Linked DNA regions of Oreochromis niloticus. The main gene of each other region encodes a partner of the protein of the gene in region 2 in a complex. Links are inferred from orthologs where the notes say so. Each region holds a gene or a part of one and is shown on either strand. Other genes may lie near its edges.

Region 1 (12,383 bases), on a different chromosome or scaffold from region 2:
CTGACTGACTGTAATGTCCTCAATGACCACAGAGGGTGCCCTTCCTCCTCGCCCTCCTCTGACACCTCCCTTTTCCCCTGTAGGCTCCGCCTGAGCCCGAGGACCCGTCCGCTCTCGGTGGTGCACCAGGGGTGCGTTTGATTCATTGTTCCTGTAGTGAGACGGAGGTGGGGGGTGCAGGTTACTCTGGGGTGGTCTGGTACGGGAGGGAGGAGGTCTGGAGGGGATGCCGCTTCGCTGTGCAGAGGATGACGACGAAGAGGAGGGGTGGACAGATGAAGGTGGAGGAGCTCCTCCTCGGTTCAGACCTCCTCCCCCTCCTCCCCTGTTCTGCCAGGACCGGACGGGCCGCTCTCCTCCTCCATCTCTCCACCGTTTGTCTCTGCTGGGAGACGAAGTCGGTCTGCAGGAGACACAGAGACGAAGGTTAAACATCAAACCAACAGCGGCTACGCTCGTTACAGGAAGTACGATGACCTCACTCAAAGTGACTTTATTTAGCGTGGTGACCCGCAGGTATCCCAAAGCTCGCAGCTCCGGAGACGTTCAACGTTCAGCTGACACGCCGCTCACCTGGGCCTCCGCTGTCTGTACCCTCGGTCTCCGGGGCCGCCGCCATTTCGGATGTCGTAACCATAGATTGCGATCAGCTCCTCGCGGCTCTTCGGCGCCTGCTCCTCCTCCCTGAACTTGTCGTGCTCCCAGCGGCCCTCGTCTTTCCACAACTTCCTGTTTCTGCCTTTTGGCCTGAAGACACAGACGGAGAGGAAATTCAAGGTCATAACGACAGGCACGTGCGCATCACATCGATGAGGTAAGAGCAGAGAGGCTTTAAAAACGAGCTCTAACCTGCTCAGAGTTTATGACTGACCCGTGCAAGCAGTGACGCAAATCTGTGGGCGCATCGTTTCAGCCCGTCTAACTCCTCCCTAAACTCTTATCGCTTCAGTTTGTCAGCGTGCAGCACGTAGCAGACACCTTCCTTCACTTTACTTTAAATGTCTCCGTTTAAACGACTTGGAGCTGATCTGGAGGCGGTGCTGTGACGGTTACCTCTCCTCCTCCTGAGCATGCCCCCTGACGTCGTGTTCGAAGAACAGACCCTTCCTTGGGATGTACGCCGGGTTCTTCCTGTCCTCGTCGTCGTCCAGCTGCTGCCCCGGTTTGCCCCCCGCCTTCGTCTCCGGGTCGTCCGTCGACTCCTGTATGAAAGTTCAGATCAGACCAATCAGATGGCAGCAGGTACCATCTTTAAACCCTGTCTGCACTCCCCTCGTTGCTTTGGATGGTTGACCTCAGGTATTCAAACTCATCCACCTGCTCTGATCACCTGTGTCAGCTCCGTCACATGTCTGAGCAGAGGCTCACTGTGGCACACGGACGACTCACTTCCTGTGCCTGTCTCACCTGTCCGTCTCCGCTCTGTCGCTCTCCTGCTAGGTTTCCCTTCTCCTCTGCTTTGCTCTCCTCTTTGCTCCGCCCTACAGCCTCTTCTTCCTCCTCAGCTTCTCCGCCCTCCTCCTCCTCTCCCTGCGCTCCCTCCACAGGGCCATCTGTAGTGGGGGGCTGGGGCTCGCTGGCTGCTGCCGGAGCTTCCTCGTCGCTGTACTGCTCTGCTTCCTCTTCCTCCTCCACTCCCTGAGGAGGACACAGTTTTAGGAGAAACACTCCCTAAAGAGGCTAAACAAGACGTCACAGCCGAGAGAAAGCAGCGAGTCGGCGGTCGTACCTCTGAATGCGATCCGTTGTCCTCGGGGTCGGCGCTGTCGTAATCTGAGAGGACGGCTGAAAAACAAAGAGGAGGAGTGAAATCACCCAACAGCAGCCTGATTTCCCAGATTGTGACTTCAGTGTGGTGCTCACGAAGAAGTCGCTTACCTTCTCCAACGCCGTCTTCGCTCTCCTGCAACAACAAAGAAGAAAACCAGCGTTAAGCTCCTGCAGCTCCAAAGCGCCGAGGATCAGACGCGTCTGTGTGTCAGAGCCTGAGCTCTGCTGCGAGTATGTCACAGAGCGCCGTGCACATTATTCAGCTTCCACCTTTAACTGTACAGACCACCAACAGCACAGCTCGGATTACTTCAGCAGAGTCTGAACGCAGCTCAAAGATCCGAGTTTATCAAACGTCTCACTAGGGCTGTTCGATATAACGATATATATCGGATGACGATAGAAAAACGTCTATCGTTTCATTTTACGCTATCGTTTGTTTCGTGGTGTCGCAAAATAAACTGTTTACGGCAATATTTTTTCATTATTTTGATGGTCACTGTAGTGGCTATATGAATTTCCTAAAGTTCTCTCTTTCTCTTATATTTAATATAACCACACTACAGACGGACAAGCGCCTGTTTTTATGCGTTTTCGTTAGCAACAACGACGGTAAAACCACCTCGTGTCCGCTTGTTTATTTTCCACATAAACCTTTCACAATAAAGCTCAAGATCCTGTTGAGGCTTTTCAAAATAAACTGAATCACGTGAAAGATGCAGAGTGTTTACGGATGAGAAGCAAAAAAGAGCCGTCAGGTGCTAAAAAATAAACCTTATACTCAAACGTTAGAACAGGCTTTTCCCCGCAGCACGCCGTGTAATAAATACTCACAAAGAAAACGGCGGCCGTTACAACCTATGTCTACAAATGTATCGTTTCATGCATCAGTTAAAACACTCGACTCCAGGTACGCGACGCCCAGCTGGAAACACTTCACGCAAGTCGAGCTGCCCGACATTCACAGAATTTACAGAAAATGTTACATTTTTGTGATTTTATATCGTTATCGGACGATAGATGTCTTAATATCGGGATATGAGATTTTGGTCATATCGCACGTCTCACAGAGTCAGTCTCTTTAAACCTCTTTACAGATGAGCTCGGTCTGATCTCACGCTAACAGCTGGATTCACTTTGTGTCTGTGTTTTTCAGCAGCAGCGCTGATACAGCAGGGTGGAGCGTTCTCACCTGTAACACCAGCACAGCTCCTCTGGGAGTTTGAACAGTTAATTTACCTGCAAACGGTCGAGTGAGTTTATACCAGCGCAAAGAACCAATATTTAAAATATGTGAAGAAATCATGACGAGGTGCCGTCAGCTCGCCTGTGTGAGTGAGCGACTGAGACCGAAAGACTCTCACAGACCAAGAAAGATCAGCGTCTTCCTCACAGTGAAGACCAGCCACAGGCCACTGCCCTCCAAGTGCCGTCCCAAGCACAGACACATGGGAAGGGTCGTGTCAGGAAGTGCATCTGGATTAAAAACAGAATTTACAAGAGTGAAAAGGAAGGTTTATGAGAAGGTCGTGAGACCTGCTGTGATGTTTGATTTGTGGACAGCGACTGAGCGTCAGAAATGAGTGACAACTCTGAGTCACAGAGGGTCTGAGCATGTGCAGAGGAGGGAGGGCGGATGATAAAAAAAGTGAGCTGCCAGGCAGGGGGAGACAAAGAGGACCTCAGAGGAGGTTCATGGATGTTGTGAAGGAGGACATACAGAGGGGTGGAGTGACAGAGGAGGATGCTGGGACAGGAGGAGGTGGAGGCAGATGAGCTGCCGTGACGACCCAAACAAGAGCAGAGATCAGATGAAGCAGAAGCCTGTAAACTGGGAACCAAAGTAACAGAGCTTAAACACAGCAAACGTCTGAAATCACAGGCAGGACTCACATTTCACTTCAGCACACTTATCAACAAGCCTGCTGCTGATTGGTTCTTACTAATCTGTCGTTTCATGTTTGTTGTCATGTAAACAGCCTGGAGCCAATAAACCCGCCTCAGCCTGCACTGCGGTCGGACCGAATCAGTCATGTTTCCCCCCGCTGCGGGGACCAAAAACGGCAGCTAAACACCACCACAGGGGCCCAGGATGATCTCAGACAGATCCACGGCCACAAAATGGAGGCTCAGCCCAGAGCCTCTCTCAGACCTCGGGTCACGCGGAGGTGCGTGATGCAGCCAGCCCGGGGGTCCCGGACATCACTCTCACGCCTCGGTGTTGTGTCACGTTTGGTGTCCGTGTTAGTTTGAGCCTTTCCGGCTCGGACACAAGCGCTACAGCGAGCTACTCGGTCTGTTCCAGCTCGAACCGCCAGGCTGGCCGGGGTCATGGACCAGAACCGTCCGACGGAGCGGTTACAGAGCGGAGCCGTTACCTTCGAGCTAACGCCGAACAAACACCGAGCTGTCTGTGGGACTCGAACACGTCACCCGCTGTTTTATCCAGGGTTCATTTTCCACAGTGACCCGAGCCCGGAGCGGGTCTCGGGCCCGGAGTAAATGCTCTAACGCCCGAAAGCTCGGCTCTGATCTCCCGCCCGGGACCGGGTGAGCTCTGGGAGCTAACGTTAGCTGCTAGCTGGTACTCACACACTCGGACTCCACGTCGCTCTTCGCCGGGACCCGGCTCGCGGTCGGTTCCGCCGGGTCGGGCTCCCGTCCCCGGGGCTTCGAGGACGGGGACCCGGACCTCCCGCTGTCCGAACCCGACCCGGACTCATCGTCATCCTCGCTGTCCTGGGACGCGCGCCTCCTCCTTCGCCGCCGGTCCGCCATCTTAGGACTCGAATGGTTGGAAACGGAAGAAGCAGAGGATTATGGGTATCCGAGTTCTTCTTCAGTGAGATAATTAAGAGCACCTTTTTCTCTCTACCGCCATCTACTGTTTGTAAACTTTTACTAACACGCTTGAAAATGCGACAAAATAAATAAATAGAAAATAAAACATAACTTGTACAACAGAAACGAAACAAACTGGGTAATAAAAATCAAAACAGAAACAATAAACAGAGTTCTGCAGGTCTGACTTTAGTAAAGTAAATGTCCTGACATGCAGAATGTATTCAGGTAAAAGTACTTAAAGTATTTAAAGTATCTGGATGTGCAGCTGATGGATGATGCACCAAAGCTTCAGCAGCATGTTTCTGCAGACAGGCGGTGGATCTGAAACGTGAGCGTCTCCCTCCAAACCAACAAAGAAGTCTGTTTTTATTTTATTTTATTTTAACGTTTTGGTCAAGCTTACATTACGTTTGGATTAATACTGAGCTCTGAGTTTCAGTGTTGTTGTATTGCAGTAAAAGCTACATGTTTGTAGTTCGACACAGCAACAGGTGACGAGAAAAAGGTGATATTTTACAGGTATGTACCTGAACCTGAGGAACAGGTAAGACGTCAGAGTAGCGCATTTCCGTCGGTCACCACTAGACGGCGCTGCTGACTACATTCAGAGCTGCAGAGATGCCGAGCTCAGAGCAGAATAACCTGTCTCCACAGTGAGTCTGAGGCCTCAGGTGAGCACCATCGGTTAAACCCTCCACCACGTCGCTCTCTGAAGAGCCCAGCACTGCATCTGTGCTTTTTAAGGATCTGCCTGTACCAGACAGCAGCTTTAAGTTTGTTTTAGTTTGACTTCCTGTATGTCTTCACCTGCGTGCTGTTCCCTGTCTGTTTCCTATCCCCAGTTAGTTCCCACTGTTTACACAGACCTGAGTTCCCTTCATCCCTGTCAGTGTGTCCTGGCCTCACTCCTTGTTGTACTCTCTGTTATCAGGGCTCTAAACTAACTTTTTCACATGGGCGCACCGGTACGCCTAACTTTAAAAATTTAGGCGCACCGGCACAAAATTTAGGCGCACTCAAATTTTTCAACCGCATCGCTTAACACCGCAGTTTTACATGTGCACTTTCTTTGGGGGGAAGTCCATACAGACAATATTAATTTCTAAATTATTAACTAACAAACTTGTGCTTAAAGTGCTTTGTCAATATTGTAGAAAATGTTAAACTTAATCATCACCTCGGCCTCCTCTGACGACCTGTTTGCTGCTGCCTGCTGCTGAAAGGCAGTGGGGAGAGGGGACACTTGGGCAGTGCATTTATTGCAGCATATAATGTGTTTTCTGGATGCACTGCTGCTTTTTCAGCATTCAAAGATTGATGGCACCGTGTCAGAGCTGGCTATGAATTTCAGACGGATCAGTCCTTAACTTAACACAAAAGTTATCAATAGTTCTTTTCATCTTTTCTTATTACCCACAGCTACATCCACTTCTGTCAGGCCTAGGCTGCTCACTAGGGCTGAGTATCATCACTGATTTCTATAATCCATTCGATTCCGGTTCTCAAAGTCCTGATTCGATTCAATTTAGCCTCAGACAGTCAGAAATATTATAATTCTGATCATTTATCAGCACTGATACACATGAGACTTCATCAGAATTGTGAACATCACAGCAGATGCCTTTGTGTCAAAGTAACTGAGAATAAAACACAGAAAAACATGAAGGAGATTTTCCTGGTCTGGCGTTTTATAGCAGATAACCTTAAAAATATTCTGCAATTTTGCATAATTTTAAGAAGTTTAAATTTCTTCAGTACTGAACAGCAGAAATTAGGCTTTCTTGTCCGAGGTCATTTAAGTGAAAAAAGAAAAAGAAAAGAAAAAGACAGCGGCCGACAGCGCTGTAAACAACGGTAGACTGGTGGGTAATAAGCGAATAAATAATGCAGAAAACAGAGATTTGAGACGGGAAACTGTTCTTGAAGTACAGAGAGAGAGAGAGAGAGAGGGAGAGCTGTGCATGAAGTGTGATTTTTATCGTGGTGGAAGCAAAACAGCAAAAGTCAGAGGGAATTCATGACGACATTGATCAAATGTGAAGCGTAGTTTGCTGCTTCTTTTGCTGCTGGCTCGGCGAATTTTGGTTGGAGAGACAAAACCTGCAGCTCAGAATCAGCGCAAAAAAGAGGAAACACAGCGCAGACCCGACGCATCAGAATCACTAAGCTCCGACAGCGTGTCCGTGTTCGGGCCGTGGGGTGAGAAAGCCGAGAAAGACAAAGCTGATTCTGATGCGTCGGGTCTGTGTTTACGTCTTTGTGTGGAATCCTTAATGAAATGATATCACTTTATTCAAGCTACTCACCTCTCTCTTCCACCTGCACTTTCAACTGGACCACGGCCAATCAGAGAGGTCCCGCCCCTGACTATCTCTGATTGGTTTAGTCCACGATAGGGGCATAATGTGTGTCTGTTGTTGACCACACGGACAGTTGCAGAGATTTTTTTTTTTTTTTGTTACCCGAAAATATTTGGTCACACCGGTGCGACCAAATATTTTTTTTTGGTCGCACCACTGAAAAATTTGGTCGCATTTGCAACCAAATTGGTCGCACTCTAGAGCCCTGCTGTTATCCCTGTGATGCACATTTCTCCACATGTAGGACACTTCTGCTGTTGTTCCTATAGTTGAGTTTATTAGGAGAGTAAACACATTTATCATCATGCTAATAAGCTGAAGGGAGACAACATTTTCACAGCTTTAGATCACTGATAACATCCAACAGGTAATCGAAGGCTATTGTTTTGCAAAAGTGTAGCGTTAAAGGATCCTGACCATTTCCTATAATTGCCTTTTCCCCATATGTAACAGAACCTTTACTTTGAAAATTAGGAATTTCCTGACACTCTGTTCCTCAATTAAGAAAATAATTGGCCTTTCAGTGACCCCAGAATACATGTTGGTGTTTATCACCTGGTGTGCCCACAGACAGATACACAGACACTGACAGACTCGTGGATAACTGGCTTTAAATGTGAGCGAGTTAACTTCAGTCTGATAATCATAATTAACCACATATCTGAGAAAGAGACACGTTCCTGAAAACACATGAAAACTATCAACCAATCAGAGGGAGACAGAGGAGATGATGACCTAAGCAGCAGTTATTTGTTCTTTAACAGACAAACTAAGTGAAATCACGAATCAGGTGAACTCCGACACACTCAGGTGACCCCTCTGACTGACCAGCTGTGGCAGATCCTCTCTGACTTTGCTGAAGTGCTGCTCAATCTGCTTCTTCTGGCTGTCGTAATTTTCCTCATAATAAATCTTTAACCTTTTAGAAAGTGGGACAAGGCTAACAGCAATAGCTGTACGTGAACCCTCTTCTGAAATAAATTTGTTAAAACGTTCTTTGTCCAGTTCGTATTTATTCTCCATCTTGTGCTTTTCGAACAGCAGCTCAAGCTCGCGTTCATACACAGAGATGAGAGTGTCCACAGGTCCGCAGGTCTGTAGCCCTCCCAGTCTCACCAGGTGGATCCGCACCTGGATGTGGAAGGCGGCTCCGTTCACCCAGGCCCTCAGAGCTCGTGACGACATCTGTCCGTCCCTCATCATGGAGCTCTTCAGCCTGGTGAGCACGATGCTCAGCTGGTGCTCGATCCATCTGATGTTGTTTATGAGCTCTGCATCATCATTTGTGTGCATCATGCATCTCTTCAGACACTCGTCAATCTGATGCCACACCTCAGAGGCCTTCTGCTCTGCAAAGACGCACCGCAGAGCCTCCTTTGTGCTCTCTGAGCTTGAAATGATGTCGATGAAGATGGTGAAGGCCAGCGCTCCAAGCCCCGCCAGCTTGACACTACCTGACAGATTAGCCAGCTTCTCAGCGAGATCCTTGAGCCAATCATCAACGGGATAGCTCTGCTGTTTGGTCTTGCTGAGGTGCTGCAGAGCTTCACTATGGCTTCATTCACCGTCAAATCTGGACATTTCACGCACGTCTTCATCATTTTTCTCAGAGCCTCCTCTGTATTCTTCTTCTTCATCTCTCTAGACATTCTCAGATCCATTCTGCTGCTTCGCTCTGAAACATGCAAAAAGTGAGACTGGTGAAACATCTGTGAAATGTCTGAACCCTGGAGGCTTCTGGGTCGTCCCTGGGCCTCTGCAGGATTTGACCTCTAACAGCAAACACAGGAGCTCTGTGTCGTGAGCTAATGTGCTGTTTGATAAAAATCTTTTGGCTAGCCGTACGCTGTCCTGTCATAATGAGCTGCCTGATCCATGAAGCTCAGGTGGTTGTTTTTTAGATTTAGCTTCACCTTAAACAACAAATAAAGCTGCAGCAGCTTTGTGCTCTCGGCTTCCTGCGGATCTTTGTCTACTGCGAGTCTGAAACATGATCCATCTTTGAAAAAGGTCGTTAGAGACGGCTTGCTGCTTCTCTGCTCATTTTCATCTGAGTAAAATACACAGAGCTTCGATCAGATTATCAATATTACCTGAGAGGATGAGCAGACTGCTGCTCGGTGTTTATCAGGATCCTCGATGTGGACTCAGAGGTTTCAGCTGCTGAGTCAGACTCACAGAGGAGGAGCTGCTGCTCTCGTTCCCTCCTTCTTTCCTCTCCATCATCATATCCAGGACTGATACAGCACTGATCACAGGTCAGCTGAGTCTGTGTGTGTAAATATAGGCTTTGGATAACGTTCACATCACTGCATCTGTTACACCTGAAGGTCTGATTGTTGACCTCACTGACAGTAAATCTCTCATACCTGATTACAGATAAACATCCTATATGTTATTACATAATGATGTAAATGTGTCATCATTTAAAATAATGATTCATTTTAATGATTTCACTGTTTCATGACTCGACAGTCCAAACTGTACAAACAGTTCTGACGTGCTCGTGTGTGTGAATGTTGTGGCTTAAGTCAAATTTCTGGTCTGTTCAATATCAAAAAGCCTCTTTGTAACATCGAGCTGATGTTTTCAGATGAGTCAGGTCCTGTTAGCCTAACAGCCAGCTCACCTCAGCAGCTGCCAGCAGAACCAGACCAGAGCTGGTTAGCTTATGTGCTATTTTCATGTTAAATATTAATCAGCCTCTTAAATGGACGGACTGCTGTTAGGGTTACACTCATGTGTACTCCTGTAATCACCCCCTTATGGGTGTCTGCCCTCCTGCTCTCAGCAGAGACTTTGACTTTAACCACACTTCTAATTTTCTTTGTCTTGGTTTAACTTAGCATCCAAATTGGACCCAGTCAGGTTATTATTTTGGTCTGTGCTGAAGTGATGCTGATTAATGGCCTCACTGTTGCTGAATAAGACTTTCTTTTAAATAACTTGTTCTATTGTGAGAAACTGGATTTCATGCTTAAAACTTGGCAGGGTGAGAATAAAGTTTCACATCTTTTAGAGAATTTGTTTGATGATCTGAAGCATTAATATGTAAAAATATTCACACCTTTTTATGTCCTGGAGACTTTATTTTTGCGCATGATCTCTCCCATCTTCAGTGACCATGACTCAGTCTTTTTCTCAACTTTGTATTTGTCATTTTCTTCTCAATTATTTTCAGTTTTCGTCTGACGTCAATGCTGAGCTCCGTGTTTCTTCTTCTAATCAGTACTGGACTGTAATAAGGGAGTGCACATTGCTAATATTTTATATTCTCCTAAATATATATTCATTTAAACATTCTCATGCTTATGTAAAGCACTACATGGGTTACAGTGTAAAATATTTCACTCTACAATCACAAATACATCAGCTTTGTGCTTTTCACGTGGCTCTGAAAAGGTTCCCGAACAACAAAGCTGAAGGTTGTGATACATCTTAACAGTAATAAGACAAAGCTGTGTGTTTGTCTGACTGATCTGATGTGGTCACAGAGCGTGGAGCTTATGCGCTGTCCATGGTGCTGAAATTATAACGCTTTATTCTGAATGCAATATAACTTTCTGTTTTATGAAACTGTATTAAGACAAATGCATGATGAGAAAAAAACAAGCAGCTCATTCAGAGCAGTTCAAATCATCAAAATATCAAATGTCCCTGTGCCGGACATCCACGCCTGTATTTATACGACCTGTGGGGTTCAGAGTGTTTCAGTCTGTGGCACCAAGGCTGTGGACTTGAAAATGTTTCTGTTTAACGAGGCTTCCCGTTGATATTCTTATTGATTATAACTTTCTTTCTTTTTACCATCTGTTCTTTCATTGTTTTCTTGCGTGTTTAAACTCAGTTTGTATTGCTATCGATTGTATTTTCATGTTTTATGATCTTTTACTGTGATTATTCCTAGCCTTTATTTCTTTGTACAGTGCTTTGTTATGTAACAGTGTAAAAATACTTTATAAAAACTTCACTTAGTAAATGTGCTGAAATTGTTCTAAATATAATAATATAATATCAACAAATTTCTGTCACTGACTCACTGAAGCTCATCTTTGGAAACGCACAGTTCTGATGTAGTTCAGCAAAAAATATAATAAATATTAACCATAAAGATGAAAAACAAACCAGGTGATAGTGAAACAGGACTTTTACAGGTTTGTTCCCCTGAACCTGAAGAACAGGAGCACACAAAGACGTGACACTTAATTTTGGTCACCCACCACTAGAGCTGGGTGATAGAACGATAACGATATGTGTTGCAAAATAACTTTTTCTCGATAGAAAAATTAAACTATTGCGATAGGCCTCATCTCTCTTGTCCTCTTAAAAACAGAAGAAGAACAGCCAATCCAAATTAAGTAGCACAGAGCCGAACCAATCACAGCCGCAGTGTCACGTCACGTGACTTGTTACGTACAGCACAAGCGCCAAGGCGCACATGTGTATTTGTTTGGGAAGCAGCCAGCCACCGTGCAGCCCGGGTAATGGAGGAAATGAGTTTGCCTGATAGAGAAAAATCAGCCGAGAGCGTGAGCGAAGGTTACCGAAGAAAAAAACCGATGATGGGTCCAATGCCGGAGAGCTTGTCGAACGGAAGGGCCACAGAAGTTCCGTAGTGTGAAGGTATTTCGGCTGTTTCAAGTCTGACAAAAAACAGAGTAGCGCGCACTGTAAATTGTGCCGAAAGCAAGTCTGGAAATACAATAAAGCGGTGCATGCTCAATCTCTGACTGAAAGCGCTGATTCGTCATTCGGCTTTTGTCAGACTAAAGTAACTGTTAAAACTGTTTGAAAAGCTAAGCTATACAACAAGGAGAGATTGAGAATTTCCTTTTAGTTCTCAGTTTATTTGATATTGACAAAAGTTAGTCAATTTTGTCTGTTCTTCTGTAAAACAAACTAAGATTTATTTTTAGAATTAATATTTTGTTTCTAAGTGGAATTGACAATTTAGTCTGTTTTGTTTGTTCTGTTTTGAAACTTAAACTCTTTAGCGGCTGCCTTTTGTGTAGTTTGCAATATTTGCCTTTATTTATCTGAAACTGAAGTCTCATGTTCCTTAAGTACATCTGTCCTGTTGAACTTATTATGGGAAATAAATATTTAAATTAAAACAAGCTGCTGATTATTTCACATTTTACTTGTGAGCAACGGCACATTTAAATCTTACAAATATAGTTATTTGGCTTATATCGTGATATATATCGTTATCGCCTGAAATGAAAAAAACATATCGTGATATGAAAAAATCTTATATCGCCCAGCTCTACCCACCACTAGATGGTGCTGTGGCGGCACTGGTGCTATTTTAGACTGAATAAATCCATGAGAGCAGCAGAGAAGCTGCAGACTTCAGACAAACAGCTCAGAGTTCTGCAGTTTAGTGTAAAAGTCAGTTTGACATTTAAC
Region 2 (12,263 bases):
GTCCGAGCCTCCGGGAAAACACGGCGGCCTCAAGGATGATTATTACTACGAGCAGCAGAGGGACGACGCTCAGCGGCAGAGACAAGAGGCTTTTATCGCCAGGTATGAAAAGTCCAACATCACTGTGAAAAGCTATCAAAGCCTGAACCCTGCAATTCCCATAATACAAATCAGTCCTCAGGTACACGTGCCTATTGGTGCATTTTATGACGTGCCACCACTTCAGATGAACAGTGAACTGGAGGTGGAGGGCTCTTCAATGTATCTGTTACCAAAAACCAAACAGATGGAAGCTGTCCTCCTTTGATTTGCAGCTAATCTAAGTGTAGTTTGACATTTCAGTTAAAAACACCTTTTTGTTTTTGCAAACTTATGTTTTAGGCGTCTGCAGGAGAGGGAGAGGATCGGCGAGCTGGGTTGTCCTGAAGTTTGGGGATATTCACCCAGAGTGAAAGAGCCAGAGTAAGTGAGGAACATACTGTTAATTTTGTGTTGGGTTTGTGGAGACACAGGTCCTTAAAACGGTCATATTTATTTGTAAAAGTTTCTTTTTTAATTAAAACTGGCTTAAATTCTGTGTGTCTTGGTCTTAGATGTTTTTAGTCTCATCACCGTAAGAGTTTCTATTTCACAATGACTTCATTCAACCAATTTTTCACCTTTTTAATCTTACTTTTCCTGTTAAATTTTATTTAAGCGGTTATTTAAAAGATCTTGATGTGTCATACCTGTTGGCACCCTGGCAGAGACATCAGGCGTTGTTCTGTCTTATTTTCAGGTATCAAAAATTCTTTTCTGTATTTTTTTCCCCTCCATCAGCTCCGATGAGTTCACACCAGTTGAAGAAGATGAGAAAAACAGCAGTTCAGAATCAAGCACAGAAGGTACACAGAGTGTGGACACATATAAATTACAGCAATGCAACGTTTTCTGTGAATTTATAACAAAACCATTCTGTCTGTTATTATCAGAAGAGAAGAAGAAGAAAAAGAAAAAGAAGAAGAAGTCCAAGAAGAGAAAGAACAAAAAGCACTCAGAGGACAGTGAGCTTGAATCAGATTCGGATGGTAAGATGAACGAAAAGCACCCTTTTTTTTTTTTTTTTTTCTCTAATCAGATTCATCAGTTTAACTGTTTTGTTTTTGTGTTTCAGAAGAAGAAATAAAGAAGAAGAAAAAGAAAAAGAAGAGCAAAAAGTATGTTCTGATACAAAGCTGTGCACCAGCTCTGTTGACATGGTAACAGCCCATTTGACTCACCAAGCATCCCGTTTCTCGTCAGGTCTAAGAAGTCCAAGAAGAAGAAGGCGAAGAAAAGCCGGAAGGAGTCCAGCAGCGACTCCAGCAGCGAGGCCTCAGAGGAGGAAGAGGAGGAAGATCCCAATGGGGTGTTGTGGGTGGAGAAAACCTCCATTGATGAGCATGTCGTCGGCCCCGAAGCTCCTCTCACTCACATGTCTCAGAACGATCGACCTTTGGAGTGAGTCTCTGTTTGTGTTAATTCCTGCATTAACAAACAGGGAGAGCATCTAATCCTAATGTAGTTTGTATTCTATTCCAAAACACAACTGCTGTTTACAGTGGAGCATACCTGTACAGTACAGAAAACTGATTAAATGTCTGAAAACAGAAAAAAATAACAGAGGCAGGCTGTGTATTTTCAAACTTGCTAGCTAAATGGTGAGCTTGAAGACTGGGATTTTTTTTTAAAAAGCGATAGTAGAGTTGACATTATTGAAGATTGCTGATTATTGATTGGTTCTTTCAGTTTTATTTAGGCTATAAAAAATGGAAATCACTATGATTCAGTTTATCAGATGTGACAAAATAAGACAGACTCTGTTAAGCATTTCCACTACACAACTTGTTTAAATCATTTGGCAGAATTTTTGATAAAAGCTTCTTTTTCTTTTCTCCTTCCTCCAGTTTCGGTCATGCCCTGTTGCCAGGTGAAGGTGCTGCCATGGCAGAGTACGTGAAAGCTGGCAAACGTATCCCAAGAAGAGGAGAGATCGGTCTCACCAGCGATGAGATCGCAAACTTTGAGAAGTCTGGTTACGTCATGAGTGGCAGCAGGTACGTAATGTTTAGAAAATGGAAAATTTTCACCTCAGCTGTGGTCCGATTCATGCAAACATATTAAACAAATCAACACGATTTTGTAGTGAAGATTCTTTTCACAAGTCCACTGCCTGGCCAAAACAAAAGTCACCATCTGGATTTAACATTTTCTGCATTACTACATTAATACACGCAGATTTCCGTAAAAAGGCGGTTCTTGATTTAGTAGTTTTAATGAGGCACACTTTAACAACAACATATAAAATGTGTTCTCCCAGCAGAGGCTCTATATGGTGAGTTAAAACATGGGTTAAGTAAAGGAATCAGTGAAAATGTGGCATTTCCAGTTGATTTTAAACCAAACCTCAAAACATATATGTGCAGCAAAAGTTACCAAATGCTTCAAAATGTTGTTTAATTTCTTTACTAATCTCTGCACATTGTAACATTTGCTTTAGCTTGTGCTCTAGGCTGGATTGAGTTGAGCAGATCCAGGAGCGTGTTCAGCTTTTCTTCCCGTAATATTGACAAATTTTTCGCCCCGCAGACATCGTCGTATGGAGGCTGTGCGTCTGAGAAAGGAAAACCAGATCTACAGCGCAGACGAAAAGAGAGCCCTGGCATCGTTCAACCAGGAGGAGAGGAGAAAGAGAGAGAGCAAGATCCTGTCGAGCTTCAGGGAGATGGTGTACAGGAAAACCAAAGGCAAGGAGGAGAAGTGAACGACCAGTTTCTGTCTCCTGTTATTGGAACCTTTACTTGTTGTTTAGTGACATGAGGCGTAAAGCTTTTTTTTTTCTCTCTCAGTTTGAATCGAGTGTACAGTGCAGGAGTGTTTTAACTGTAAAAATGTGTCTGAGAAGTATTCAGTTGTATTCTCCTTCCCTTTTTTATCCGTCTCTTGTAAATGTTTTCAAATGCTCCCAACCAGAATGTTAAATAAATTTTCACTATCATATCTTGTTGCCATTTTATTATTTCTTTCTGTTCTTGCCGGGAGTTCTACTATAAGTGATAAATGCATCAAGAGTAGAAAACCATTTAGAAAAAAAGAGCAGTTTGTAGTATTATTGTTTTAAAGTGCAGGACCTCATCTGAGTGAAACACTTAAATAAAGGCTTTTTTTTTAAACTAAATAACTGATCATTTTTTGTGACGAGTTAATTGTAGCATATTTAAGAAAACTTGGCAAAAAATTTACCATCAAACTCTGAATATTAAAAATAAATCTGCCAGTGTTTTTGAGCAAATATCTGAGCAAATAGCTACTTAAGAACAGGAACCACATGAAAATTTCAGTACTGAAAAAAAGTTCAAGCTGTCTTTAAAAGTGCCGCCAAATTAATTTTACCACCATTTCAAGTCCACAGTCTAAAGCAAAAGTCTACTTTGTTCCAAGCATGTTTTGTTTTGTTTTTTTCATTTCAAAATAATATATATTTGTAGTGGTAAAATCTGTGACATCACAGACAAGTCTCTGCCTCAGAAAATACACATAGTATCAATATTGCAGTTTATCACTGGATATGGTACAGGTCAAATAAATGTAAAAACAATGGCCGACTTTTGGAAAGGTGAGGTGGAAATTTTGTTCATATTGATTTTTTTGGGCATGTTTGCCTTTAGTGGAAAGAAAGAAAAGTGAGGAGGGACACTGCACTCTGACCATGTGACATGTGATCACCTGCTCACTCATTGACCTAAAGTGGTGCCCATACTTGACTGGTTTTTAGCCACAGTGACCCCCAAATATCTTTAGCAATTGTTTCAGCTTCTTTATAGTGAATCAGTGGCCACAGTGTGCATTTACTTCAGCTGTTTATAAACCTTTATTTATTTACAAGTTGAAAGTCTTATGACTTTTAAGATGTTTTTCACTGGCGTGAGAAAGAAATTTCTATAAATTGCTAATACAGAACTATTGTTTTTTTTCTTACAGGAGTTTTTTGAATTCTTTACTTTTTACAGCATTTCAATTAGTGCTTTTTTAAATGAACATTTTTGTAAGAAACAAAATATTTTTTTCCTGCATTTGCTGTTTTTTTTATTAGTTAATATCACCTGAGCATCCACCACAGGTTGCCTGTGACGGTGGTTTGAAAGAAACACTGAGAAAACATTGACATCATGTTTCCACAACTTGGATTAAACCTAATCCCAGACTGAAAGAAATTAATGAACTGCACTGAAAAAAAAAAAATGTATGGACTAATCACGTCTTTTAGTTTTTGTCAATAGTTGTTTTTTGAAGCTACTTGGAACAATAGAGTTAGTTACAGTTAACGTGATGCTGCAGGAAGGCGTATTACAGCTAAATGGTAACAGCAGGTACTGTGAGACATCTCAAGTCCAGTAAACCTGTCAACATGTAAGCAGATGTAATAAAATAAAATAGTAACTACACTCCTTCTCTCTTCTGTTACTGGTAGAAATCAATATAAGAAGCCTCACAAGATTCCCAGTGTGTGGAAGAGTTTAATCACCCATCTTAAAAGACTGAAAAACACAAACAGCTGAATGTTAAATATAATCTTTTAATGTACAACAAAGAACTTTCTTCTCTTGGGTCTCTCCGGGTTCCTCGTCAGTGAATGTTCTCAAGTCCCTGGTGAGGAAAAGCGAAATAAATAAGGATTAAAAGTAGTTATACATGAGCAGCCATTGTGTTCAGTTAAGCTAAAAACACATTTTATGGACTTTAGGTCTCCTTTTATGCTCTACACAAGACTAACACCGCCATCGGTGTTACCTGATGACCGAGAACAAGGAAGACCACCGTGTGGTACTTACTATATAAAAGGCTAAAGCATGGCATTGGGTTATTTAGCATAGAGCATGTTGGGATGATCACTTTGCATAATTATATAGTTTAGGTTAAAGTATCATTATAGGACACGTTTCGATAAAAATTATTTTGTAATGAAGTTATAGCCATTTGAAAATGCACCAATCCAGAGAACTATTTAAGCTACGTCATTCAATTTTTTAGGCCAAATATCTGTTGTCTTGACTTCAGGAATATGGAATTTCTAAAGTGTTGTTGAAGTTAAACATCACATTCTGAGAAACCCAATTAGCTTGAAAATTTGATTGCATTACAAATATTTGAAAGTTTTTAGATGAACAGTTTCAAAGATAGAGGGTTCAAATTTGTAACACAGATTCCCATAAAACTACTCCAATCAGATGAATGATCTTAAAGATACTACAGCTTAAGGAAAAGGAAAAAAGAAATCATTTCGATATCCCCCCCCCCCAAAAAAAATGGCATGCTGGTGTGCTGAGACAAGTCCAAGGGAGGCAAAACAATAATGAGTGATATTCAAATGCACTGTGTTTGTACACATAAAAGGATCTGATTGATGGCGTGGAGGTAGTACAGATGCACCCCAGATAGTGCAAATGTGCTACCAAGAATGCCTTTATAATTAAAAGAATATACACAGATGAGTCACATGATATACAGTGTTTTTTTTTTTTTCTGTGAATGTGGACATTGGTGTGCCTCCATGAAATGCCTGACTGAAACAAAACTAGGGTTTTGAAAGTGCACCGTATTTGCACATACTGCTTTTTCTGAAACTGTGCACACTACTGTCGAGCAGTTTAAGCGACTTTTGTATTTATATGTAGTTGTAGTCTCAGAGAAAGGCTGTAAAGTAGTTCCAAGTTGGACACTTTGTTATTCATTAGCATTACTTTTAGTTATTATGGGCAGAAGGAAGCTAACCTTGGAGTCAAAGTGGCGTCCGGTTCCTGACACTCGCTTATCTCTGTCCATGAGATACCACTGCCACGGAACCCGAGCAATCCTTTTCTCCTGCGGGGGAAAAACACACTCTTTATAATCCAGCAGTCTGGTACACAACACGAGAACCTACTGGCAGCGCCTGCGTCCTCACCTTTCCTCCGTTAGTGAACTTGTGGATCTGCGCGGTGGCGACACCGGGAATGATCAGACACACGGCCATGACGCCGAGTCCGGGCAGAATTTCATACCACATGATTACAGCGTTTAACTGTCAGGGGACAAAGAGCAACTTCGAGGACAACAAAGTTGCCCCAAAACCTACCTAACGCTGTTTATTTATCCCAGAAAGTAGCAAAATGTCGACCGTCAGGACGACCTACGTTCCTCTTCCAGGACAAGAGAAGAACTTCCTGTTGAAGATTTTCAAAATAAAACACTTCAATTCAACAATTCATTTTGATCGTAATTTTAAATCGATGATTAAATTATGCTTTTACAGTCAAAAGACGAAACCGATCGGACATGGATATGTGGGGAGGAAAAAAAAGTGTTAAAAATTCTATCATAATTCAAATTATATGTTAATTTTTTTAAATGGACACTTGTCACTGGAAAAAAAAACTTAAAAAACGTTTGTTTAGCTATCTATAGGTCAACGTTTCCCCTTTTCGTTATTATCTCAAAAATTTGAGTTTAGGGTTAGTCTCCTCCCCACCAAAAAATCGACTTACCAGCAAAGCGATCTCTGAAGAAGCATTTTGAATTATGGAAGGCAATTATTTTCAGTTAAGCAATCTTTATATATACATATATATATATATATATATATATATATATACATATATATATATATATATATATATATATATATATATATATATATATCCTGTTTATTTAATTTTCTTTCGTTCGTTTGTTTTGTTTTGTTTTTTGTCTGGAAATCGCCAAACATGACTTAAGTGTTTACACGACGAGTAAGCTTTTAATTTGAAGTGTAGCTGAAAGGCGGAAGCTCTTTTTGGCTCACGCTAGCACCATTTCTTTCTAATAGCAAATAAGAAACCATTCAGAATAATTCCTTTCATGGACAAACTAATTAAGACTATAAATAAAACAAAATAAAATATATTCTAGTTATTAAATTAATTGCCTAGGCACGATTGAGTTCATGTACAGCGCCCCACTCCGGCGCTGATACTAAACGCAGCGCTAACCGTCAGTGAGGAAGTTCCAGTTAGTTCGTTCACTAGCAGAGGCTAACTCGCTGAAAGGTAAACAAGTCAGCTGAATGAGATGAGACCCAAGTCCAGGATTAAGTAAAGTTTTCTGCAATGAAGGAAGACAAAGAAAACACTCGACCGAAGGAGAAAAGGGTGGAGATAAAGTATGAAGATGGAGAGAAGACGGAGAAGTCCAAGGAAAAGAAGGAGGCCATGACAAAGGTAAAACTTGCTAGCTGCGTTAGCTCATGTTGCTATGAACCGCCAGGTTTATAAAATTGCACTATTTTTCATGTTGTAGTGTTTCATCATGTTTCACGTGTATAATGATAGAATGCACGTGAACTTAAGAAATCTGTTTATCAGCCCCAACTTTGTTCTCCAGATAATAACTTCACCTATGATTTTTTTTTTTTTTTTTATTAAATAGATTGTGATCAGACGACTACCACCAAGTCTCACCAAAGAGGAGCTGGAGGAGCAACTGCAACCGCTCCCAGAGGTGGACTATTTGGAGTTCTTCTCTAACGACACGAGGTGAGTTTATCTGTAAAGATTCCCTCACTGTTAACAAAAGATAAATATACTCGTATATGTATGACACAGGTGTTTTCCTCTTTTAGCCTTTACCCTCACCTCTTTGCAAGGGCTTACATCAACTTCAAAAACCAAGAGGATATAGTGCTCTTCAGAGATCGCTTTGATGGATATGTATTCATTGACAACAGAGGTATAAAACAGGGAAGAAGTTACTAAACAGATTTAAAGATTTCTGTAGGAAGGACCCGAAGTTTCATCTTTTTCCACATGATGTTTACGAACAGGTCAGGAGTATCCTGCCATTGTGGAATTTGCACCTTTTCAAAAAACTGCCAAGAAAAGAAGTAAAAAAAAGGATGCAAAGTGTGGAACAATTGTCGAAGGTAAATATATTTACCCTTTGATAAATACAATTCATATATTGTAACGCAGTATGTCAGAAAATAAGGAAAAGCATTATAGGTCTGCTTTAAGTGCAATTTAGGAACACTTATAAAGACATATAAAGATACAGAAAAAGCAGTCTTGCTATAATCATTAATGTGTTTATTTGTGTTTCATTTGATTCTTTTAAGATCCAGATTACAAAAAGTTCCTTGAATATTACAACGGGGACGACGAGAAGCTAACGTCCACACCTGAGACCCTGTTGGAGGAGATTGAAGCTAAATCAAAGGAACTCGTTGGTATGTTTAGCAGTCAAATACTGGTAGTTTTCAAACAAACGCACTGCACAATGAATAATTTTTATCATTTCCTTTGTTCAAGCAAAAAAAACAACTCCTCTGCTGGACTTCCTGAAGAATAAACAGGTAAATAAGTTCAGGTCGAGATGTGTATACATTGCTGGAGGCTGGCCTCACACATTTTGTTTTAATGTTCTACAGAGACTCAGGGAGGAGAAGAAAGAAGAGCGAAGAAGGAGGGAACTCGAGCGCAAACGTCTGCGTGATGAGGAGCGTCGTAAGTGGAGGGAGGAGGAGAGGAGGAAACGCAAAGAGGCAGAGAAGATGAAGAAGCTCGAGAAACCGCAGGAGAAGGACAAGGACCAAGCTAAAGACGAGCCAAAGATAAAGGTGTGTGCAGTAGTTGAAAGAAGCAGTTCGAAACTGTGTCCAACTCTCAGTACTTAATGTGTGTTTATTTTTACTGTTGTAGCTCCTGAAGAAGCCAGAGAGAAGAGATGAAGGTGAACCGGAGAAGCCAAAAGAGAAGTCCAAGAAACCAGAGAAGCCAAATAGAGAGGACAGATCTTTGGGAGGTTCTGATCATAAGAGACGTCAGAACATCGAGCACAAGGAGGATCGAGGAAGGAAGTTAGTTCTTCACTCTTCTTTTAATTGTCCAAATACATTCACCCTCAAGTGAACAAGCTATTTTAGGTTGATCCCATTATAATTAATACCAGAATACTTTATTTTTAATGGGTCTGTTTATGCTTATCATAACCATACCATTTCCTTTATCTATCATAGATACTGTTTTAATCATTTTGAGGTTTAGCATCACATTTCCTACACTACTAGTAGATTAATGGGTTAGTCAAGATCCATGGTGTCTCTTGAGCCTTCTACTGTACATACTGCTTACACGCGATTGCTCCTCAAAATATCCAGGCATTCATGTGATGAAATTTATAGATGGCACAATCGTCATTGGTCTGATCTCCAGCAATGTACGGTAGACAGGTGGAAGAATTTGTTGGCAGGTGTGATGCAAACAATGTGTGCATCAGTGTGGGGAATACGAAAGGGATTGTGGTGGACTTTAGGAGGAGAGATCACAGGTTTCATTCCTGGAGAAACTTGAGCTTGTGGCTCTGGTTCTGCGTATGTCCAGTAACCTTACATGAACCACAAATGTGGTCAGTATTATCAGAACGCTCACAAAGAGCTGTTTCGTTTGTTTTGTTTTGTTTTTCTTTATGAAGAAGCTGAAGCAGACTGGCCTTGGTGCAGCTGTGCTGACTTCTTTATTGTGTGCTGGAGAGCATCTTGACATACTGTATAATTGTTTGGTATGGCAACTGCTCTGGGGGCAATAAAAACACACTGTAAAGATTTGATAAATCTGCCTGAAAAGTGACTTGTAGCAGCTCTCCTTCTTTAGAGGACATTTATATTAACCGTTTACCGCCCTCCCCTCAGGCAGAGGACTGCATAGCTTCACAGCCTGTACGATAATCCTAAAGTGCAGCTGCTTCTGTAAAGCTATGATTCTCATGAACTCGGTGCCATAATTTGTCCTCTGCACTTTATCAGCTTGTGTTTTTATTATGCGATTTTTAGATTAAAATAATTACTGTCTGTTCTATTTATTAATATTTTAATGCTGGCCTGAGAAACACATTTAATTCTTGCACATTTAAAAAAAAAACACACACACATTACATTTACATTTTTACAAAGGTGCCTTTTTTTTTTTTTTTTTTTTTTTTTTTTTTTTTTGGTCGTCGTTCTTCTTCTGAGTCATCTTAACACCACTGAGGAAAGGCATTCAGTTAAAGTTACAGCAACACAAAATGCACCGCACAGTCACATAAAATAAATGTTTTCATCCTTGATTCTAATCTGCGACCGGGTCTGTTTTACACTGCTACAACACAGAGTGATCAGCCTGTTTTTCTAAACCCATAGGCGTCCATAGAGTCCACTCTTCTAAAAAGGTTTTCTAAAAGACTTGAAGTGTCTCTGTGGTCAGTTTTTGCACATTCATCCAGAAGAGCATTTGTGAGCAGTTGAGATTAGGGATATATGAAGGCTTTGGAAGATGTCATGCAGCTGCTTGGCCATGGAAATCCATTCAACCAAACTCCCGGTGCACAGTTTTTGTGTTGATGTTAATGCCAGAGGAGGTTTGAGCTCTGTGGGTATTGAGTCAGCAAAACATGTTGACACTCTCTCTTTGCCTTCACCTGATCTGTCACTTTGTGGTTGAGTTGATGTGGTTATTTAATACTTCGACTCTGCAATAGCACTACTTACAGTTGTTTGTGGAAAATGTAGGAAGAGTTCCACAGGAAGACTGTTGTTGTTAGTGTGGTTTTTATTTTGTTTTTTTAAATAAATGTTTGTTAAGGCAGACTACATGGTTTGCTACTGGATTTTAATTAAGAGGTGGCTCAATACTTACTTTCATATAGTGAAAATCTCTTGTCATAAAAGAGCCTCCATGGTCCCTTATAGGTTCAGTCAAACTTGTGCTTTTCCCACAGAGGGGACGAAGATGGGCGGAAGGAGTTCAGGGAGCGCGACACGGATCGAGACAGAGACCGTGACCGAGAGCGGGAGAAGGAGCGTCGGCAGAAAGAGAGGGAACGCCTCAAGCGACAGGATGAGGAGCGTCGGAGAAGAAGGGAACAACAGGATGGAGACAACTCCTTCAAGAAGCGGGAGGAGGAGGTTAAAAAAGATAAAGCCTTGGAGAAGAAGAAGGGTGAAAACATGCCAGACTCCCCACACACTGAGAAGCCAGAGAAGCCTGCTAAAGACAACAAGAAGGAGGAGGGTGGGAAAAGAGAGCGGCTACGAAATAAGGTAACTGCCCGTAGGTCTTAAATCATCACACAATTTCATCCAGTTGTGTTTCTGAGCCTGCTCTTTCTCTGTATCAGGACCGGCCTGCTATTCAGCTGTACCAGCCAGGTGCCAGAAGCCGCAACCGTGCTGCAGGAGGAGGAGGAGGAGGAGCTGAATCCAACTCCGCTGACAGAAAGCCAGATACCGAGGCTAGGAAAGTGGCTGAGAAAGAAGACGACTGAGCAGATTTCTACCTGCAGCATTTTTAAGTTTGGCGAGGAGAGAGAAGACAGGCCTGTGGGGCTCAGAGCAGCAGAGTGGCATTTCGAGGCCACGTGCAGCACAGCATCGGGGTCTCCCAGTCTCAGAGGCAGAGGTGTGATTGTGGAGCCTGTTAGTGCCTAAATGTGACCCTGTTTAGTTTTATTTGATCAAAGAGGTAAACTTTGGAAAGAGTTTGGCTGTAGGGCACATTAGTGAAGCCAAAGCTTTCTTGGACCACGTAAACTCAAAGTGACCTTACTTCAGTAGAGTTTCTCTGATGGAAAATGTGTGGTAGGCGCTGAAAACTTTAGCTTTCAACTTGTCTTTCATCTAAAACTCACTCAAACTTTCCAATCAGTCAGTATTTCTACATTGCAGAGCTCTACAGCATAGTTTCTACACTCTTTAATGATTTTTCTGTTGTAGCATTGCCACTTTCAGTTTGAAGTGCACACATAAAAATGACACCTTTGGCTCAATCCCAGCGTCCACGCTCACAAACCTTTGAGTTGTGCTTGTGTTAAATGTGTGAGGGCTCACTGGTAGACGTTTAAACTCCTCCATGTACACCATCCTTAAGCCCAGTTTCTGCAGACTTTACCTTAGAAAGCTATTCACAGTTCACAGGAAAAGCCAGCAAGTGAGAGGAGCAGCCACCCAAAAAGTCAACGGAATGCACTATATGCCTTATTACACTTTTTAAAAACTTGTGCTTAATTATATTTTGACTAAATCAAGTAAATCAATTATATGACAGTTTGCTCTTGTCTCCTCTGTTAGGTGGGAGCCTGGAACACAACAGATCAGACATAAATATAAAACCAACAGACCCTAGTCCACAATAATAGAAAACCTATTCTGGCTTTAAGGTTCCTGTTGATACCATTTTGATCCATGTTATACTCACACA

Evidence for each region.
Region 1: upf3b (region 2) and casc3 share a complex: the UniProt entries of both Homo sapiens proteins name them as parts of the mRNA splicing-dependent exon junction complex. The link is inferred for Oreochromis niloticus from reciprocal best matches to the Homo sapiens genes UPF3B and CASC3.

What each region holds. Positions count from the first base shown.
Region 1 is NC_031969.2:34,223,707-34,236,089, reverse strand, and holds the start of casc3 (protein CASC3), read right to left. Parts: upstream 4,585-12,383; 5' UTR 4,549-4,584; coding exon 4,363-4,548; intron 1,904-4,362; coding exon 1,879-1,903; intron 1,786-1,878; coding exon 1,730-1,785; intron 1,639-1,729; coding exon 1,408-1,638; intron 1,203-1,407; coding exon 1,054-1,202; intron 748-1,053; coding exon 574-747; intron 404-573; coding exon 1-403. UniProt on the Homo sapiens protein: Required for pre-mRNA splicing as component of the spliceosome. Core component of the splicing-dependent multiprotein exon junction complex (EJC) deposited at splice junctions on mRNAs.
Region 2 is NC_031966.2:18,503,723-18,515,985, reverse strand, and holds the start of upf3b (regulator of nonsense transcripts 3B), read left to right. Parts: upstream 1-6,825; 5' UTR 6,826-7,142; coding exon 7,143-7,253; intron 7,254-7,461; coding exon 7,462-7,568; intron 7,569-7,654; coding exon 7,655-7,761; intron 7,762-7,855; coding exon 7,856-7,954; intron 7,955-8,146; coding exon 8,147-8,257; intron 8,258-8,339; coding exon 8,340-8,383; intron 8,384-8,458; coding exon 8,459-8,647; intron 8,648-8,729; coding exon 8,730-8,887; intron 8,888-10,785; coding exon 10,786-11,107; intron 11,108-11,184; coding exon 11,185-11,331; 3' UTR 11,332-12,263. Other genes in the region: nkap (NF-kappa-B-activating protein), read left to right, coding at 1-102, 382-462, 820-884, 972-1,067, 1,154-1,196, 1,282-1,479, 1,926-2,075, 2,608-2,782; ndufa1 (NADH dehydrogenase [ubiquinone] 1 alpha subcomplex subunit 1), read right to left, coding at 4,645-4,665, 5,791-5,880, 5,963-6,064. UniProt on the Homo sapiens protein: Involved in nonsense-mediated decay (NMD) of mRNAs containing premature stop codons by associating with the nuclear exon junction complex (EJC) and serving as link between the EJC core and NMD machinery.